Linked DNA regions of Rhinolophus ferrumequinum. The protein of the gene in region 1 binds, or shares a complex with, the protein of each later gene. Links are inferred from orthologs where the notes say so. Each region holds a gene or a part of one and is shown on either strand. Other genes may lie near its edges.

Evidence for each region.
Region 2: WASHC1 (region 1) and WASHC3 share a complex: the UniProt entries of both Homo sapiens proteins name them as parts of the WASH core complex. The link is inferred for Rhinolophus ferrumequinum from reciprocal best matches to the Homo sapiens genes WASHC1 and WASHC3.

Annotation. Positions count from the first base shown.
Region 1 is NC_046293.1:88,118,753-88,129,250, forward strand, and holds the start of WASHC1 (WASH complex subunit 1), read right to left. Parts: upstream 4,092-10,498; 5' UTR 3,940-4,091; intron 3,910-3,939; exon of another isoform or gene 3,707-3,909; intron 3,666-3,706; exon of another isoform or gene 3,292-3,665; intron 3,037-3,291; exon of another isoform or gene 2,841-3,036; intron 207-2,840; 5' UTR 202-206; coding exon 53-201; intron 1-52. UniProt on the Homo sapiens protein: Acts as a component of the WASH core complex that functions as a nucleation-promoting factor (NPF) at the surface of endosomes, where it recruits and activates the Arp2/3 complex to induce actin polymerization, playing a key role in the fission of tubules that serve as transport intermediates during endosome sorting.
Region 2 is NC_046293.1:17,287,825-17,298,575, forward strand, and holds the start of WASHC3 (WASH complex subunit 3), read left to right. Parts: upstream 1-6,344; 5' UTR 6,345-6,448; coding exon 6,449-6,499; intron 6,500-7,064; coding exon 7,065-7,163; intron 7,164-10,751. UniProt on the Homo sapiens protein: Acts as a component of the WASH core complex that functions as a nucleation-promoting factor (NPF) at the surface of endosomes, where it recruits and activates the Arp2/3 complex to induce actin polymerization, playing a key role in the fission of tubules that serve as transport intermediates during endosome sorting.

The DNA.
Region 1 (10,498 bases):
CTAGAGGGACCTTCCTGGGAAAGGAGAGACGACTGCCCAGGGCAGCACCCACCTGCTAAAGATGTCTCCGGAGACCTTCTGCAGGTACTGCAGGGCGTCCGCCACCTGCTGGATGGCCTCCTCTCGCCGCAGGTTCGGCTGGATGAGGGGCACTGTGTATGTCTGACCTGCCAACGAGTGCTGGGTCCTCATGGGAGTCATGCTGCCTGTGGGGGAAACCGGAGCATGAGGGCCACCCCACACTCCCCCACCCCCACCCACCACAGGGCAAGGTACCGGGAGGAGGGCGCACAGCCCCTCACCCCACCGATTCAGCACGCACAGGTGGGGAGTTGGGGACAGAGCATTTGGTGGGAGGCCAGGAGCCCACAGGTATGCTGCTTATTGAGTGAATGCGGGAGGGAAATTGGTAGGAACGAGGCGACAAGAAGGGTTCAGAGAAGGTACAACACTGACTGACCCCATAAGGTGTCACATATTACCATACAGCTTTCAACCTCCCAAGCCTGGATGAACAAGAAAGAAGCCCTGGCTGCAAAGTGAAAAAGTCTGGAAGCAGAGGGATAGCTGTGGGGAGAAAATCTGCCTCAGTCAACTGCCAAACGGTACCTGGGTTATGGAAAAGCACAGAGAATGTGGACTCCTGGGTTCTTCTCACTTTGGTCCCTGAGGAACTCAGGGCTTAGTCCTCAGATAGGACAGGCAGTGGTTAGTGACTCTAGGTTGCAGTGTCCAGACTCTGCTCGCCCAGGCTCCAGCTAAGGGGGGCCGGGAGGAAGCAGGGGTATGTGGAGCCAGGAAACAGGAAGGAAAAGCGCTCCTTCGAATTGCAAGGCAGGGCAGAGTCTATTTATACTGGGCTTAATTAACTCCACTCCCTGGTGCCACTAAAGTAGCAATCGCACTGCAGACGGCACTGATTTGATTGGCAAGAGATGCACCAAGCAGAATATTAAGGCCCCAGACCCCTATAAATAGGTCTAATCACAGCCCCTTGGCAGAAGATGGGGAGGAAGACACTCACCAGGCCTGGCACTGTGCTCCAGACCTGTTTTCCTAGGCTCCATGTTAAAGGCCCCTGGTTGCAACAGCGGTGTGGGTGGGGCTCGGTGAGTATGGCAGGGAGGGCTTAGGGGGCTTCATTTGGGCTTAAAGTGCTATGTGACCTCGGGTAAGTCGCTTGCCTGCTCTGAATATCTGATGCTATTTCCCATTCTACAGAGAATGGCACTGCTCTCTAAGGGGTTTTCCCAATATATCGCACCACATCTTCACCAAGTAGGTGCTTGCTTCTCCGCTCCCTCTGCTGGTTCCCCTGGCCCTTCCGTCCGCCCTACTTGTTCTCTCCTGCCCTTCCCAGGCCAGCACTTTCATTAGCCGAGATGACTGTTCTGCTCCCCAGCTTGTTTCCCAACAGTCATGTCCTCGGCTTCTCAGACCTGAACCTCCCTTGAATCCTCAACAGGGCCCAGCACTACTCCTCACTTCTCTTGCCTCCTATCAAACGACCAAGAGTGGTGCTAGCTGATCCCTAACTGTCTGAGGAATCTAATCCTGAGACACCCCCCCAACTCCTTTCAAGGAGAATCCCTCCACTTCTTGGTATTCATATTGATGCAAATTTGCTGGCCACCCTAATTTAGTCCCGAGCTTCAGCTTTCCCATCTGTAAGATGGGGAGGGGACCACAGGTAGAAGACACTTTCCTGTGCACATCTTGAAATGCATTCGTCATGGCTAGTCACCATATCTGTGTGTGTACACACACACGAGGGAGTGATTCAGGCACCAATCTCCTGAACAAGGAAGTCCTGGGTCCATTCAGGAATTAAGAGACTGAGTACAGCTGGTTGGCGGTTTACTCGTTCTGTCTGCAAACATCTACTTATCAACTATTAGGTGCCTGCCATGATCACAACAGAGATGAACAGGGCACTCTACTGGCCATGGGAATAGCCTCAAGAACAATTAAACAGCATGTGATGTGTTCTAATCCAGCCGTGAATACAGTACTAGGGGAACACTGAGGAAGGAGTGATGAACCTCTTCTGGGGTTAAGGGAGTCCGGAAAAGCCTCTTAGCAGACGCTGTACCTCCCTAACAGTCCCAGGGAAAGCATTCCAGGTAGAAGGAACAGCTTGAACAAAGGTGTATAGGGGAATGGCAAGTGGTCCTGAGAGGTGAGGGTATAACCATCCTTGGGCAAGTAGCAGGAAAAAGAAAGATAAAGAGAGGCCAGACTGTAAAAAGCACTGAATACCACAGCAAAGAGTTTGGACTGAAATCCTCAGGCCTGCATTGTCCAGTGTGGTGGCCACTAGCTACACGCGGCTATTGAGCACTTGAACTGTGGCCAGTCTGAATTGAGATGTGGCATAAGTGTAAAATATACACCGAATTTCAGATTTAGTAGGAAAAAATAATTTAAGATAACTTATTAAAAATTTTTACAGTCCTGGGTGGCCATTTAGCTCAGTTGGTTAGAGAGTGGTGCTGAAAACACCAAGGTTGCCAATTCGATCCCTGCATGGGCACCGTGAGCTGTGCCCTCCTTACAAAACAAAATTTTTTTTACAGTTCTCCCTGATTTGCAGGGGTCCGTTCCAGAACCCCCGGTGGATGCCTGAAACTGCAGAAAGTACTGGACCCTATATACACTATGTAAAATTTTTCCTATACACACATACCTATGAGAAAGTTTAATTTATAAATTAGGCACAGGAAGACATTAACAACAATTATAAAAGAGCAATTATAACAAGATACTGTAATAACAGTAATGTGAATGGCTTTGGCAAAATAAAGGCCAAAAGGGTTATCGGAACACAAGCACAGCAATACCTGGAAAGTTGATCTGATAACCTAGTCAGGTCTACAGAATGGTTACACTGGTCAAAGGGATGATTCACAACCCAGGGAGGGCAGAGCAGGACTGAGTGGGACACCTGCAAGATTTCATCACACACTCAGAAGGCGTGCAACTTACAACTTATGAAATGTTTCTTTCTGGAATTTTCCATTTTCAAACTGTGGTTGACCCCAAGTAACTGAGACTGCAAACAGCGAAATCGCGGATGGGGGGGATGGGGAGGGCTACTGTATGTTGATTACGTGCTAAAGTCATCATACTTTGCCTATCCTGAGTTAAATAAAAAATATTACTAAACTAATTTCATTTGTTTATTTTTTTTTAAATCACGTGTGTGGCTCACATATTTCTAATGAACACCGCTACCTTTGAGAATCTGGTAAAAACTATGGACGCTTTCAAAAAACTGAACCCACACCATACCTCTCTCTCATAATGCTGTTTATAATTTCGGAAGTGCATGAAATCCTTCCTGCAAACCCCCGAACACCCAGCTCCCAGGTCCAAAACGTCTGCTGTAGGTGATCAGGGTGGGGTCGCATAAGAGGGGCGAAGGAGGCAGAGGCATTAACCGGCCTCAGTGAGGGACGGGAGCTGCAAGAGGTCTGAGGCTTCCGTCCGCATCCTAGAGCCCGGCCCCGAGGGTGGAGAGGCACGTGAGGGTCACGGGGCCGGGCCGAGAGGAAGCGGAGGGCTGCGGCCTTCGGCGCGGGGCCGCTTCGCAGCAGGGCCCTCCTCCGGCCAGGCCTCGGCCTCACTCCGGGGAAGAGGGCCAGGGCAAGGCTCAGGCGCCCGGGCCGGAGAGCCCGGGACCAACAGGGGTGGAAATCCGCCTTACTGCTGGGCGGAGGCCCCGCGCCGCTTCCAGGCTGGCGAGTCCAGCGGCGGAGTCGGAAGTCAGCCCGGGCGCAGGGTCTGCAGTCCCACCCGCCTCTCGCCGCTGCTCGCTCGCGCCCGGCCCCGCGCGGGCCCGGGTCTGCGCCCAACGCGCCCCGGAGCTGCTCCCCCCAGTCCCCTCGGCGTGCGACCAGGGAGGCCTGCACCCTCCCCGGCCGCCCAGCCCCTCGTCACCTGCGCTCCGCGCCGCGCCGCTCCATCCGTTCCGCCCGCTCCGCCCGCCGCGCTTCCGCTCCGCCGGCGCTGTCGGGTCCTGGCGCCGCCGCCGCTCTGCGCGCGGCTTCTGGTTCGCTCGCTGGCTCCCCGAGTTCGGGCCCCGAGCGCGGTCAGTCCCCGACCCCTGCGTGGAATCGCACTCGGAGCCTCCCTCCAACCGCCGGGCGCTTGCCTCTTGTAGTCCCAACACCTAACCGCCGGCCCGCGCCCCCGTCGCTGCCCCTCACTGCCCACCCCTCTGGCCTCACCTGGGTTTTCTGCCGCCCGAGGCTCAGAGACGCCCTAGCCTTTCCCCGTGTGTACCCCCTGCACGACCCCAGCACAGGCCTGCAAACAGCCCGCGCCCTCCAGCCTACGCACTTAACATGTAATACGTCTTTTAGCGCGCCTTTATTTTCTCGTCTTGACTAATGTGGGCCGTTTTCCCCATAGAATTCACTAAGTTTCCGCCACCACCCTCACCGCCACCCCTTTAAAAATTAATTATATAAGCCAGACACAAAAGGAAAAAGACTGTATTAGATTCCACTTATATAAGACAGCTAGAGTAGTCAAATCCATTGAGGCAGAAAGTAGAATGGTGGTTGCCAGGGGTGGGGAAGCAATTTGGGATGGGGGAGTTATTGTTTAAAGGGTACAGTTTCTGACAAAGCCTCTGACCAAACTGTAGTCAGGCTTCACTGAATTCTCTTCCCAACTAGGCCTCTACTGACGTTTCCGAATTTTAGCGAGAATCCTGTTAAGTGGGTTTAGACAGAATCCCCCACTCTCTGTATTAATCAGATCACCCTCCGTACTGATCAAATATCAGACCAAATTCCTCATGCTCCAACATACCCCAGGTGATAGCTAGTCGCCCTGGCCTGCTTTCAGCAAGAATCCTGTCAGGTGAGTTTAGCAAAGAATTACCCCACCATTAGTAATTTTCCATCCAGGACCACCACTCCCAGCTCCTTGGCTGTAAATCCCCACTTGTCCATGCTATGTTCGGAATTGACCCCAGTTCTGTGCTGAGGTCTCTTTTCCCCTGTTGCAAAGTCCTAGATAAAATCTGCTTTCACTGCTTTAACTACTGTCCAGATCTGGTTTTCTTTGACGTGCCTGTTTGGGATGATGAAAAAGTTCTAGAGGTTGGTAGTGGTGATGGTTGCACAACAATGTGAATGTATTTAATGCCACAGAACTGTACACTTAAAAATGGTTAAAATGGCAAATTTTTTGTTATCACATACAAAAAACAAACTATTAGATTGGTGCAAAAGTAATTGCAGTTTTTGCAATTCTATTTAACCTTTTAAACCGCAATGACTTTTGCACCAACCTAACAGTTTTTTTAAAAAAGATTTTTAAAAAGGTTAAATATATAGTGGAAGTGTTAGTCCAGAGATCTCACAATTGTCCCTCCTGGAGTCCATTGGGGCTTGTCTTAGAGTTCTTGGTCTGTCTCTTTTAGAGTTGCCTGAGGAAAATATAGGACACCAAGTTAATTTGAATTTCCGATAAAAAAAAACTAATATATGTGTGTGTGTGTGTGTGTGTGTGTGTATTTAGTGTAATTATATCCCAAACTAAGCATGAGACATGCTAAAAAATTATTTGTTGCTTACTTGAAATTCAAAATCAAATAAGTATTTGATATTTTTATTTCCTAAATTTGGCAATTCTACTTTCTTCCTAACACTCTCCAAGTTTTGTCCTCCTTCCCTGCCCCTCCTTCCAAGAGAGTTAGGTTGAATTGTCTTTTGACAAGAACATTCCACCGTCTCACCAGCTGTAGTACATGGTCACCACCAGCTGTGGAGTCCACCTATATTATGGACTGAATACTTGTGTCCCCCCAAATTCATATGTTGAAGCCCTACCCCCCAATGTGGTGGTATTTGGATCTGGGGCCTTTGGGGAGGTAATTACCTCCTTTGGGGAGGTAACTGGGGCCATCATGAAGGTGGGGCCCTCATGATGGAATTAGTGCCCTTATAAGAAGAGACACCGGAGAGTTTGCTCTTTTCTTTCTCTTCACCGTGTGAGGACACAGAGAGAAGGTGGCCATCTGCAAGCCAGGAAGAGAGTTCTCAGGAACCAAATTAGCTGGCACCTTGAGCTTGGACTTCCCAGCCTTCAGAACTATGAGAAATAATTATTCACGTTGTGTAAGCCATTCAGGCTATGGTATTTTGTTTTTAACGAATACAACCTGCTAACGCATTTCCCCCTCACTCCTCCTGAGCAATGACCGAGTAACTTAAGGTATCCAGGTTACATCAAAGGAGGGGAAATGTGCTGTGTGCAGAGGACAGCACCCAGGATCGGGGCCTCGCCACTCATTCCTTGTATGACCTTGGGCCTTGATTGCCCCGTTTATAAACTGGGGTTAAAAGTGCTTGCCCTGCCTCCTTTTGAGAGCTGTCATTGGATGTCAGAAGTTCTTCGTGATCTGTAAAGTTTATTCAAGGACAAAAGGAAATTTGGACGTGCTCTGGGATGTCTGTCTATACATAGACACACAAACACACACCACGTGACAGGAAACCTAGCTGTGTTTTCTCACAAAAGTGCAGCTAGACAGTGCCCCATGGCCCAGGCCAGCCAGGTCACCTCCATACAGTTCACCTTTCACTACATAAAAGTTCTCTGCCAAATCTACTATTTGTAGACTCATCCCAGACCTAATTTTAAAAACTTCCAAGGAGCTGGATTGCAAAGACATTTGACCTCAGCCACTCAAGCTGCAATGGGAATCCTTGACCTCGCCCTGGAAAAGAAAAGCTGAATGTCAGCCTAATGTGTGGACCCTATGGCCCTACCTGCCTTTGTTGGCCCATTGTGTTATTCTATGTATATGAAATATCCAGAATATGTAAATCCTGGGAGACAGAGCATAGATTGGTGGTTTCCAGGATCTGAGGGGAGAGGAGAACGGGAAATGGCTACTTAATGGGTGCAAGTTTTTATTTTGGGGTGATAAAAATGTTTGGAACTACATAGAAGTGGTGGTTGCACAACATTGTGAAGGTGCTGAATGCCACTGAACGGTTCACTTTCAAACTTTCATGACAGTCATATAAGTTTGCTTTATATGACTTTCACCTCACTTCAAACAAACAAACAACAATAACAAAAAGATGCTAGGAGCAGGAAATGCTGTATCCATATGAGGCCAAGCCGGTGTCTTACCCTTTCTACCCTCCTCGGTGTGGAGCGTGTACTGGATGTGAGGTACATCAGAGAACGCAAGAGTCTGAAGAGACCTCAGAGGCCGTAGAGTGACGCTCCACTCATGGACACAGGAGCATGGTGGCAGCACAGATAGACTGAGGGCCTTTTCTCTGTATCCTCCGAGGATACCTTTTCCTTTCCCCAGAATGAAGATGACGAAGACGCAACAGTCTCCTTTGTCACCATTCTTTCAGCCCACATTGGTGGAGTGCTTGCTCTGTGCCTTCAAACAAGTCAGGGAAACGGACACTTAAGCTGATGCTTGCCAGGTGTGATTGCATTTTGATGGAAGCAGTGGAGGGCTTGCTCCGAAGCACGGAGCAAGGCGTGCATTCAGTTCAGACTGCTCTCGGTAGTGCAAACAAAAACCTCACGACAGGGCTTACGCATTAGGAGATGCTGTTTTCCACATTGGAAGAGAACCAGCAGTAGACAGAACGGGGCTGATTTCGTGGCTCCATGGTGCCTTGCGGAACCTGGAATCTTCTTTCTACTCTGCCTTAGCACATGGCAGGCATCCTTATGGTTGTAATACGTATGCTCCATTCCGGGGCATTGCAGCTGACTTCCAGGTGGGAAGAAAGGAAGCACAAAGAAAAAAGGCAAAAGGCATGTAGGAGGCCAATCTTTTCCTTTTTTTTTAAAGCTTCTCTAAGACTCTCCCTCCAGCAACTTCCTCTTACAATTTATTGGCAGGGACTGGATCACATGACTGCTGCTAGCTGCAAGGGAGTCTTGTGAAATGGGTATTGAAATCCCCTGAACAAAATTGGAATTTCATTAGGAGGAAGGGGAGAATAGACAGAGGGTAGTCAGCTGTGCAGTGTCTGCTAGATACACCTAATCCTTCCTTGTGACTTCGGGGGTTGCTCGGAGAAGGTTTCCTGGAGAACATGATGCCAGACACGAAGCTTAAAGAATAAGTAGGAGTTACCTCGGTGAAGCAGGGTGGAGTTATAGGCATTCCAGGGACATCAGACAGCAGGAGTGTACTAATTTAGGTAAGGTTAGCTGCTGCAACAAACTGAAAACTTTAAATAAAAACTTTATAATGGCTTAAATGTAATGGAAGCTCATTTCTGACTAATGGAACGTCTGAAACAGTGGATGGCTCTCCTTCACATTTTAATCCAGGGACCCAGGTACTTTCCATCTAAGACTCTACCATCTTCAACACGGGGCTTCCCAGATTGGAAGGGGAAAGAGCATGAAGAGCCTTGTGGGAGGTTTGATGGAACAGGCCTGGAAGGAGCATGCAACTCCTGTTTACATTCCATTGGCTGGAGCTGGTTCAAATGGCCACATCCAACTGCAGGGGAGACTGGGAAGTACAGTCAATTTCTATTCCCAGGAGGAAGAGCTAGCCAGTTTCTGCTATAATGATCAGGAGGTGAGAAAATGCACAGTTGGGTGTGGAGTAGGCAATGAGACAAAACCATAAACAGTTTGGTGTTGCTGAAGTTCAAAGGCAGAGAGAGGTGGGGATGGGATTAGAGAAGTCAGTAGGCACCAGACCACAATACTAGGTATGATTTTTGGAGTTGCTAGTCTGTGCCAGGTAATGAGCTCGGTACTTTACATATATAATCTCAATTATGACGAAATATCTGTCCTGTGGAGAAGAGATAGGAGATCTTCTATGTGTATTTGTTTTGCATAACAATCCTATTTCCTAACAAGTATATAGATCTTCATTGAGTGCAAAATACATGTACATATACAATGTTTAATGCTTATAAGTATTTGATGAGGAAAATATTCCCATCATTCTTATGTAAAATTGGGGAAAAAATGAGGTTTTAAGATATTTAAGAACTTGTTCAAGGTCAGATAGGGCCACCTCTTTACAATAAGCACTCTTATCCACTATATTCTCTCTCATAGAGGGTCTCATGTGTCGTATAGTAAGGAGTCCAGACTTGAGCCAGCTCTTTCTGTGGCCAAACTTGAGCTCCTTCAGATTTGTTTAGACTTACCTCTAATCAGTGGTATCAGGAGGACAGGAAGGACTCCGTGCAACCATGAATGCATCCTTCTTGGAGCAGTACCTGGATCTCCCAGTGAGGAAGGTCTCCATTTTCAGAGGGAGAGCTCAGCGAGCTGCAGTGCCCTACTCTGAGCCCAAAATGACCACCTGAGAACGTTACAGCTCTCCCACGACCCCCAATGCTGGTCTTCTCTACAGCCTTGGAGGCCTGCGGCTGGGTAAACAGAGACCGGGAGCATAAGCAAGGGGGAGCAGAAGCGGGGCCACTGGCAGGGCTGATATCCATTAGTCACAGTAGACACAATACTTGTAGAGACCCACAAAAATATTTTAATTAAAGTCAGAAGACAAAAATGAATTTTAGATTCAAAGACATATTTTAATATAAAATATTAATATATTCATCTATGTGCCAACATAGTCTTAAATTTTAACTTTTAATATTTGTTTATAGAATAAGGTCCCCATGAAGGCAAAAGTGCTTAGTCTATGAAAGTCATAATGAGGTTGGTGCGTGAGTGTGTGTGTGTGTGTGTGTGTGTGCGTCCAGCATCCATCTCATTGAACCCCATGCACCATAACATGCTCTAAGTAACCTGGAACCTAGAGCCCACTCCCCTACATGGATCTGCATTACAGGAGCTGTGCCCCTCCCTTCCTGGTACAGTGTCCACAACTCTGAATTTCCACTAGTGTGGGAGCTGGCACAGGGCAGTAGGTCTAATCCTTGAAAGAGCTCCTGCAGGATCATCCCAGCCTCCCAGCAGCACCACAGCGGGCTCATTTCCAGGGAGGAGGAGACCAGAGCAGGGTGGCTGCCCAAAGACCAGGGATGGCAAATGCCCAGCAGAGGCTTCTGGAGCATGGCAAGAAGGGGACCCTAATGGGAGGGGCTAAATCTCAGAGGTGGGATTATGCAAATCAAGCCAATTCCAGCCAGAGATCTGAAGCTTGAAAAAAACCCAGCCAGGGGGAAAGAACTTAAATTATAAAAATTTAAAAGTATGAAATGTGAAATAATCCCTTAAGGTGCTATTTAATAACCAAATCGTTCTGACACAATGAACCACATATGTAATGTCCTCCCCACCCCACCCTCACACACACACACACACACACACACACACACACACACACCCCCACATCCATACACACCCATGAGTACCTTTTCTCCAACCCACACTACCACCCATGCACGGGTATCTTCTCTGTTCCTCCTTTGCATCTCATAGACCAAGCAAATACTGAAATCCCACGTCTCCAATGGATGACAGGAAAACAAGATCCAATTTCCTGGGGCTTCATTCAGTGAGG
Region 2 (10,751 bases), about 71 Mb from region 1:
AACCAAACCTGAGCCCATTACAGGTCCCTTCCCCTTCCACTACCCCCATTGAAAAGTAGAGCATTTCTATGAAAACTTTTGTAGGTTGAAATGGCATAAAGGGAAAAAGCAACTATCATTAATTTATATGGAAAATTTTTTGAGTGTTCCCACACCCAAAATTCAACGCACACACCGTGTCTTTACTTTGTTCACAATTATCGAAATGCTTAATTATGTCGTTTTACACTAAGCCTAACACCCTTAGGAGCTCTCTCAGGCTTCTCTGATACCTTAGGATACATCTCGCTAAGGGATACAGAATGTAATGGAGACAAAGCACAGATGCTCACAGACACCGGTCAAGGCTATGGCGGCTTGATGCTGAGACACCGAGTGGTTCGGGGGAAGGAGCTTGGCGGGGCCACTCTCATTACTCAGGTGAGTGCTGCCTGCATGAGGGCTCACTGCAAAACAAACGCTGAGCACTATTTTCCCTTTTCACCTTTCTTCATAAAAGTGAAAATCCTCTTCACAGGTACTAAGGTAGGCCTTCGGTAAAAGCCAAGTGGCGTAACAAAAACTTGAAAAGCAGGAGGTACCTGTACCCCCAGCCATCTTACGTAAGCCTTCATACATCAAATTGGCAGTCATTCACATTAGCCAATCTCCAGCTGTATCCCTGCCCTGCCTTGCCTTTCCCGATGAGGCAGAAAAAGAGTTAATGACAGTGGACCCAAGCGGGATGGCCCAGGCCTGCAGCCCCTCCCCAGGAACTGCCCAGCCTGGTCTCAGAGATAAGCTTCAAACACCCCTTAAAAAGGCAGATAAGACCCCAACGGGATTGAGTTTGTTCCTGACACCTGTGCAGATGGCTGAAGCCTAACCGCAATTAGAATAAAATGAGCATTAAGGTTTGGCACCCCTGTGGGTTTTTCTGTATGCATTATGGATAAGAGCATGCACAGAAACTCGTTATGTAACCTGCATACGTCAATCAAATGATCTCAGAGGGGCGTCACATCTCCTGCTGTAAGAAAATTTACCTGCCTTTTTCTATATAAGAAAAAGCTATCCTAGAGGAAAGGGCAGCCGTCTTCCCAAGACACTGACACTAGCTTCCTTTCTCCTGACTAATAAAACCTCTCCTTGCTTTCTCATTTGTCTGAGTCTTGTGAATGCTTTCACACTCTGCAACTGACCAGGGGTATCTAAAGATAATACATTTCCCACAGAAACCCCAATAAAGACCCTGGCCTAGGCTTTCCCCTGGCTCCTGCTTCTGTCTACCTCCTAACCAAAACCTAATGGCTCTGTGTGGCATGCATGCCCCTTTCTCCTGGGAAATGTAACTAAGAAATTCTCTCAATAGCATTAGCCTCTCTGTTTCATCACTTAGGCACCTGTATGTATTAAAACTCACGGGTACAAATGCAACTGAGACCTTTCCCCAACCCGCTCAAGGAAAGCAGTACCATCTGGCTACCTGTTTTATTGGAGACCCCCCCCCAACTGTAAGTATCTTTCGATCTCCTCTTGAAGTAGTCATCTTTCTAGAGGGGAATCCAGTCTCCGGCCTAGAGGATATAAGCCTACAACCCAGCTTTCTGAGTGAAGTTCCAAAAGCCAGAACAATTAAAAGAAGTAGCCTAAAACAACGAATTCTTAACACAATGGAAATAACTAGGATAGAATTCTTTCACTTGACTAACACTATTTTCCCTTTTCAACAGACAATTGGTATCACTCCTGAAGGGTGAGGTGGGGCAGGGATAGGGGACATTTTATTTGCCCACTATTATGAACCAATACATACCCCTTTAACTGTTCCATCTGAAGCAGAGCAGAAAGAAACACAAAAGAAAAACGGGAACTCAATTCTCATTATTTACCCCACCTAGAACTTACCCATGATGAAGTTAAATGGCAGTGATTTTTCTAGTAATCTGCTATGAAAACCAAGATAAGTATTGAAAAATTAAGATTTTTTTTTTATTGAACAGATAGATGCAGATGGCATATTAGTCTCTGCCCTTTGAAGCTGGTATCCATTACAATAAACTTGTTTTGCTATCAAAATTCACTACGGTAAATGAAATATGCTAATACATTTCCAATGAGAGAAAGCCTGCAGGAAGAAGAACATATTTCAGAGGATTTCTGGCAGTTGGCCAAGACTTACAGCTATAGATTGTTTTTAATAGTCCTGGAAATTCAGTGACTAAATTGTGACTGGCATTGCTGTCAGGAGCTAGGGATGATTGATGATCAAGGACCCCAGGAAGCAAAGAAAAACTGCCACTCTTCTTTCTCTTAACTAGAACTCTCCTCTTCTAGAATTATATTTGTCTTTTGTTTTATAAAGAAACCGAACCACTGTGAAAAAAAAGTGTTTTGTCAATTGGCCGACTGAGAACAAGTTCATGTTTCTATAATTCTATTTTATACATATATAGAGAACAGATAAATACATAACCATAAAGCGGATCTCTGATTTCGTTTTGTCTTTTTTTCCTATCTGGTTGGGAGCCTCTCCTGGCTCTGGAGAGGAAGGCTAGACTCTAGGCTGGCTTAGTTGGGATTCTGCTTTGGGGAGCTGATTGAAACAATTTATCCAGAATTGTGGGTCCCACCTAAATCAAGGATTCGTGTAAGCTGTGAAAGCACAAGGGTCATTAGGCCCCAATGCATTCAACAGGTACTGAGGGTTTACAATAGATCAGACATTGAGCTAGGGCATTAATAGTGAACAAGGCAGAATCTCTGCCCTAAATCAATGGTCTAGTGCTTCAGACAAACAAGTAAGTATAATATGTACTGAGATGAAGTGAAGCAGAAGATGCTATGGAAGGAAGCATGTATTTGGAGGAACAGTTAATCTAGTCTTGATGGATGAGGGAAAGCTGCTCTAAGGATAGGATGATTAGACTTCTGCCACTGATTAGGATATAGAAAGATGTCAGAAAGCCTCTCACATTTGTAGTAATAAGAAATAACCAGATAAAGTAATCACACTTTTCCATGGGGTTGTTGGGAAGCAGTGGATAGATCTTAATAATTAAATTCTGACAGGTATTTATGTCTAGAGGGACACAGGTGAGCAGAGAGCTGTGCATTGCCATACTCAAGAAGAAGGGTCTGGTCTGGGTATAAGTAGATGGAAGAGCAAGCCTGTGACACTCTGGGAAAATGCAGAGTCAAGAAGAAACCAGCGCAGACTTTGCCAACAGTATAAGCTGGTGGGACAGACTTGGGTCTGGAAGGAACCCAATCACAAAAATAAATCACTTAGGCCTCCATCCCAGCCCCCAGGTTGCTAAGATTGAACATGCAAGGGAGAGTGTGCCTGAAATAGGAGAGTACAGGACAAGATCCCAGGAGGAGAATTGCCGGAACTGAGAAATCAGGATACCAGAAAGATGATCTCTGTAGATACTCAAATTTCAAGAATTACAACAAGAGTAGTGTTAGAAGGAATGGCAGTGAGCCATAAACTAAGGACTTCAAGGAATGAATAACAGTAACCTAGGAGCCTGCAGATGACCGCTACGAGGATGTCATTTTATGTCTGATAGCATAAACCCAGAGCTGTGGGGCGTTTGTAAGGAAAAAGGAACAACAATGGTCTGAAAGCAATGAGAAGCAAGGAAAACACCCACCCCACCTCCTGGCCTAGTATTGTAAGGGTGTGGGTGAAAAAAGAACCACAGGATGAATAGGATGCTATATCCTCAAGAAACAGTCAAGCTTGAGTTTGAAGAGAAGAATGAGCAAAGATGAGATTGAGAAATGAAGATTTTGCCAATGACCCAATTCCCAAACCCTAGAGGAAGGGTCTAGAAGTTGGGGAGGGGTCAGGAAAGGTGATGTAGAAACCCATATGGTTGAGGTTGAGGAGAGCCTGAAGGATGAGGGATAACTTGGGAGTCCCGGACCAATTGTGAATGTTTTAAGGCACAGAGTAGTTGAGGAAAAGGTGTGTGTGGAGGGGGATTCGGGGGGGGGGCGGGGGGGACTCTTGCCAGAAGCAGGAGAGCTCATGAAAGAATGAGTGATGGTCTTCACTCCTACCAAAGGTGCTGTGTAGGCCAGGGAAGGGGTGCTCTTATCTGGAGCATGTAGATCTCGGGCGTGCAAACCTCACCACCTTTGTACATACTGTTCCTCTTTGTGGAATGCTCCTCCCCATTTGCTTCACCTTGCTAACTTTTGTATCTTCAAAATTCAGCTAAGACATCAGCTCCTCTAGGAAACCACACCTAATTTCATCAATCTGATCTGGGTGCTCCTGTTTGGGGCATACTTTAACCTAGACTACCACATTGTTAATCTTTTTGCATTTTTCTGTCTCCCTAGCTGGACTGTGAGCAACTTAATGTCTGTTTGCTTACTTGTTCATTATCTGTTTACCTTCATGAGGGCAGAATTTTTGTCTGTTCTGTTAACACTGTATCCCAGATTCATAGACTAGTGCTTGGCACATAGTAAGGAATATCTTGTGGATTGATGGATGGCTGGCTCTCTTCAATCCCTGACACCATCCCAGGTCATCCTAGATCACAGCCCTCAAGACCATGTATTAAAATTATTAATGAGTATTCATTAAAAAGCAGAGTGGCTGGTACTAAGTGAGGACTCATAAGAAAAGAAGATAATATTTACCCCAAGGAATTTAGTATATGTGCTGCCGAAGCGAGCACTTTACCCCAAGGAATTTATAACCTAATGGAAAAATTCCTACTCATGGACATTATCAAGGCAAAAAACATAAAGGACAGTTGCCTAGAGCTGTCACTCACAATGTTTATCTTATTTAGTGTGGCGCTAGTACAGTATTTAGAACATAGAAGATGCTCAATAGATGTTGTTGAAAAATAACAATGAAATATTCAATTATATGTGAAGAGATTATATAGTCACAATTACATAGATACAGAGACATGAAGAAATATATTTAAACATATTCCTCATCCTATCCATCCTCACTTCTACCTCCCATTTCTACGTCTACAAATAGTACTCTCAACTTTTCTGTTTCCAACTTTTATTGCACATCTATGTGCTAGGCAGCCTTTTTACAAATGTAAATCGTCACTCTCGTGTTCAGAATTTTTGAATGGCTCCATCACCTATAGAAATAACACCTTTTGGTTCAGAATAATGGTGGGGGCAAGCGAGGTTGATTAAAATGCGGATTTCCCCCAGAGGTCCTGAGTTTATCTAAGGTCAATTCCTGGAATGTGCATTGTAAGAAGCACCATCCACGCCCAAATAATTGATACAACTGGCCCATGGATCACACTTTGGAGAAACATGAACTAGAGTATCAAATCTGGCATAAAAGGGCCTTAATGAGCTCTTCTGTCCATTCCTGTCTCATTTGCTTCCATTTTCCATTTCTGGGATTTTTTGCTTCAGCACAACCAGTTACCCATTGCCTCTACAAACCATACTCCTCCATGCCTCTATGCCTTTGTTTGTACAAAGATCCACCCGAAATTGTCTGTCTGGCTAACTCCACTCAGGAACCTGCTAAAAAACTACCTTCTGTCGTTTAAAAGCTATCTTCTCTGGTTTTCTCAGAGGATTTAAAAGCACCTTTCGTCTACAATACCAAAGCACTTTGCCTCTGTGTGGGTGTGTGCGCACAACTTTCTCAGTATTGTTTGCACTAGATGTGGCAATTCCAGACTCTACGTCTGCCTTAGATTAAAATCTTCTTGAAGGCAGAGACGATTTTCTTCATCTTCTTAGTACTGAGCATCGTGCTTGGTATCTAGTAGAAGGGGTTCAACTTTTGGTTTGGTGACTTGTCCTAGATCACATAGCTGGTAAACTGCACAATCAAAATCTGAACCAAGATCTTCAAATCCCAGGTGCAGTCTTTTCAGGTGTCTGTGGCCCCTTTTTGATGATGTCTCTAAGTGGATATTTCCAACGTATTTCATGTTTTAAAGTCCTCTAAAAACAAGTCTTATCTTCTCTGTCAGGGCATAAAGCACAGCGGGCTTAATCTGACTCAATCTTGGTATTCCCCACAAGGCCTAGCAGAGTACCTGGCATTCAGCATAAAAAAAAAGTTACACACACACACACTTGATTAATGAATGACCCCTAGCTAAATATATTTAACAGATAAAACTAAGCAGGTATAACCTCAAAAGGACGCAATCATTTACTCTTCTTTTTTGCCTCGTTTTTAAGATTTTACTACGAGAACTGCAACCACGCTGCACCCCGCGTCTGACGTGACAAACCAGACCTAGAACTACCAATTCCAGAATGCCATGCGGGGGGCGTGCTCTCCGAGAGCCGCCGAATGATTGGCGAGCGGGGACTTTTCCTTCCGGCAGGAAGGGCCCGGGAGGCGGGGACTTGGGGGAGACGTTTAAACACTATTACCAGGTTGGGCGGGCCACGTCAGGGAGGACTTTGTGGGTGATCCCTGGGTCCCCCGCCCGCTGAGGAGATGGATGAGGACGGGCTTCCTCTCATGGGGTCAGGCATAGACCTGACCAAGGTTTGTAAAGGAAGGAGTTGAACTTCCGGTGACCTGGGAGGAGGATGGGGAAGGGACGCCCGATGCCCAGGGGGACCCCATCTCCCATGCCTCACCCTGTCCCTGGCCCCGGGCTTCTCTTCGGCCGGTCTCGGGAGGGAGAGTCCCACACTTCACCTTGAAAAGGGGTCCCTCCCGAGCTGTTTAAGGGGGTCGTGTGCCTCTCCCAGCCCTCGCTTCACGGGTCTCTATGCTCAAGGCGACATGGGCCGGTTGCGAACTCTAACCCCACCTCTTTTACTCGGCCCCCAGGTTTTTTGTGTGTTTATGTGTGCTGTCTTTACCGACAAGTTCTTACTTGTGAATCCAGAGCCCATTCTCAAACTTTTCTGCAGCTTCTGCCATCTTCGGACACCCCACCCCCACGATTTGGGAAAACAAACTATGGACTGCCTGTTGGCAGTACTAAAAGGGATTCGTGTCACACAGCTCATAAAACACCCCGTTATATTAATATCAAAGGGATTGCACAGTGTATCTTCCTCCTGTACGAATCACATATATATATATTTTTTACATAACACAGGTGCCAGCTATTCAGCAGAAAAGAACGGTGGCATTTCTAAACCAGTTTGTGGTGCACACTGTACAGTTCCTCAATCGCTTTTCTACAGTTTGTGAGGAGGTAGGTCCTGTGATACTGGTGTAATGAGTACCCTAAAAATCACTTTGCACTTCTGAAGACGGCAAATGAGTAAAACAAGAATTACAGTCTACTCTTCCCATATGAACCCAATTATGTTAACATACTTTAAATCCTTTTTGATTCTGTTACCATCAGTCCTGCACTCCACTTCTGTTGCATTAGTTTTCTAGAGGCCTTTGTGAAATAGTTCAGTAAAGCTTATGATTAAAGAGAACAAAAGGAATTCCAAAATTTCACAGTTGAAAACATTTTGTATTTTGAAATTAGTTATGTTTCTCTTACCCCAAAGATTTACATTTTCAAGTTCACATTGTTTCAGTTGATATTAAAATTATTTTACATCTTTGGAGCCAAAAAAAAAAAAAATGGGTAAGAAGGTAGCCTAGAAACATAGCTTTGGCATCAAATATCATTATGAAAATAAAAATACTTTCTGCAACTGATTTGTGAAGTGAGGATTAAGTACCCAATTAAAGATGAGAGATCCCTGTCTTTAGGGGGGAAAAAGGCAAAAAAGAGAATGGGGAGGAAATGGGAAACATGGGTTGAAATTGGATTTAAGAAAGGAGAAAGATAAACTCACATAATTCACAGGTGAGCCAATTAAATAAGCCTATTGAGTTCTTTATGTGTTGTATTTAACATAAGGTATAGCCTTAGCAAATGGAGTTTTTCTTAGATATCTGATTAATAAAAATTGCATGGAGAGAAGAAAACTATTTTCACTTGTAGATTTCAGCTGCTGTTTTTGTCTAGCTATCAAAATCTTTTCTGTCTTCTTACTAAGACAAAGGCACTGAAATGATAATTGATAGAGTAAGGGATTCAATTCAATATATTTTATCTAATAGGTCCAGAGACTAGGTGCTTGCTTCAGTGAGTTTTATATTGCTGCCTCTCTAAATGGGTGTAGAATTGACTGACCAAAAACCAGTAAACCAAGGATTTAGTCCTTCACTTTTTATGTCAGGGATGGGTAGAGAAGTATCTGGACAGCGACTATTCCAGGATTGTTAGTAGAGAGGAGCAGATACTCCATCCCCTCATCACTGGGTTAAAAAATAAACAGCAACAGCCAGCAAACACACCTATGAAAGCAACTTAACTGAGCTGCTCTGGGCCAAGGATAGCGCCTCACCTCTGTAGTGCCTCATGGTTTTCATGGCCTGGGCAGTGAGTACTGTCGACTGGGGACTAGATCAGATATAACAATCATCATCTCTTGTTTACTGATTTCTTAGGAATTATCAGAGCCTCGTGATTCATTCTTTTCTCCCCTTCTCAACTTCCTCTCTCAACTTCCCCTCAGCTGTTTTCACTGTATTGTTCACTATTCCCTAGTTCTTCCTTGAACTCTAGAGACAAGCTTGTTAACTAAAAACTCATGAAGTTTAAATGTTTATTGCCTTTTTCTCCTTAATGAATGATACTCTAGGTTGACTAGGACTCATTATTTACAATTCATATTTTAGCAGTTTGGATATAGTTGTAGACTGTTTGCTGGGTGTGATGACAGTGCTTATTCCGTGCTAGGCATTGTACTAATTGCTTTACATATCTTTAATCATTCCAGCCAGCCCTTTGGAAGAGGTCCAGCTATCTCTCTCTTAGAAATACAGAAACAAGATGTAGAGAAGTTTAAATCATTTGTTTAGCCATTCATTCATTCATTCAACATATATTTAAGTGCATAGTATTTATAGCTGCAGTAACTGCGCTAACTTGCCCACACTCACAGAGCTGGAAAATAGCAGAGCTGGGATTCCAACTCTGATCTACTCACTGGAAAAAACAAAAATGTCTCCCTATTCAGTTATATTGCATCTTCTGCCCTGAATAAGAGGCATGTTTACATCATTTGCAAGTGAGAGACTTCAAAGTGTCTTTTTTATAGCTATTTCAAATTGTATTTTTCAGATACGTATTCTCTTTGCTATGCCATATCCCTTTGATGTAATGTCTTTTTGATATGATGAATTCAAAGGACATAATATATGTGTTCAAACATAAGGTGCCATTTTATTCCAAGTTAAGATTAATGTGGTTTTTTGACATGGCACCTAGTAGGTCTATAATCCTCATTTAAAGCCTCAAACAAGAACCCAAATGACTGTTTCCCTCAACAAAACATGAACCTCAGCTGTTATGTGTTGAACTGGAAGTTAATGGGGGAGGGAGGGAAGAAATACCTGTTTGTGTTTTGTTTTTTGTTTTTCATACAATCTGGTTTGAACCAAACCCAAACTGTAACAACTTCAGTCACTGCTAAACTTAAACTGTAATTAAATTTGAAATAAATTGCTGGGGCTCTCTTCATCACTAATACTGGTTTTAGAGTTCTCTAGTAAAGAGAAAAGTGAAGAACTTAACTTTTAAAAAACTTTCTGGATACCAGACTACTTTGTAACTGTTCTAATGACTGGATCCAGGGTAGGAAAGAAGTTAGAAGAGGGAGAAAGGAAAGTAGCTGAATCAGATCCAAGTTGCAGAGTTACTTAGGGTCATCTCTTCACAAATCCCCAGTAAGCATTTCTACTCTGGCCCTAATCAGCAAAATCTTATGGTGGTCCATTGGGACTGCTAATTTAAATTGGGAGTGGGGTGGGTGGGGCATTCAATGCAAGTTCTATGCATATTGCAGATAAAAGTGAGCAGAAATTTAACCTTATATTGAATTTTAAAGTCAAAGCTACTCTATAAACAGGATAGTCAGATGTGTCATTTTGACTCAGACTTGTAACATGCCTAGAATACTGGGTTTTTAATCATTTAAAACATATTCTAAAATGTTTCTTTTTGTTTCTAAAATCTTAAGTATAGGCAAAACTGCTGAGAATTCTCACATAATCTAAAAAACTTTACAGTGCTTATCTTCTACATCCAGTTTTAAGCCCACCATCGGACTTATCAACCAAATAATGTTTTGTTTAAAACTATTTATTGCTACAAGTTTTTACAACTGCTTTTACAACTTTTACAACTGCTGGGCTTAAGTGTCAGATGAAGCTTAATAAAACCAGCAATTGCTTCCCTTTCTGGCTGTTCGGACACGTACAATCCAGTGTGATATACCAAGAGATCCATTATTTTAAAATACTGTTTCTCTTTTAGAGAATTGGATATGCACACTGGATATTTTACAAACCTAAAAACCACAGTATTTTATTTTTGTTTCCATGTTTAACTATTCACTCCATATTTCTTCCTTTCGTCTTCTTTTTCACTTTAATAAAATACTCTGCGTTAGAAATAGATGGGTGATAAATCAAGAAGTTTTCAGCTCAGCTTACAGATTTCAGGTAACTTGTAAATTCCTCTACTGTCCCAAGCCAAGGTATATTTCAGGTTTGCTTTAAATCCTTATAAAGATAAAAGGGTGGCTAAATACATGGGAAACTGATGTCTTTCCATTTCCTCCTTGCTTAAACTTTCAGAGATGGGCACAGTTACTCTCGTTGGTTATATTATTTATATTCATAGTCAAGTCATCTACACGTTAAAGCAGTGGTTCTGAACTACGAGACATTTGGCAATGTCAAGAAATATTTTTAGTTGTCACGACTGGAG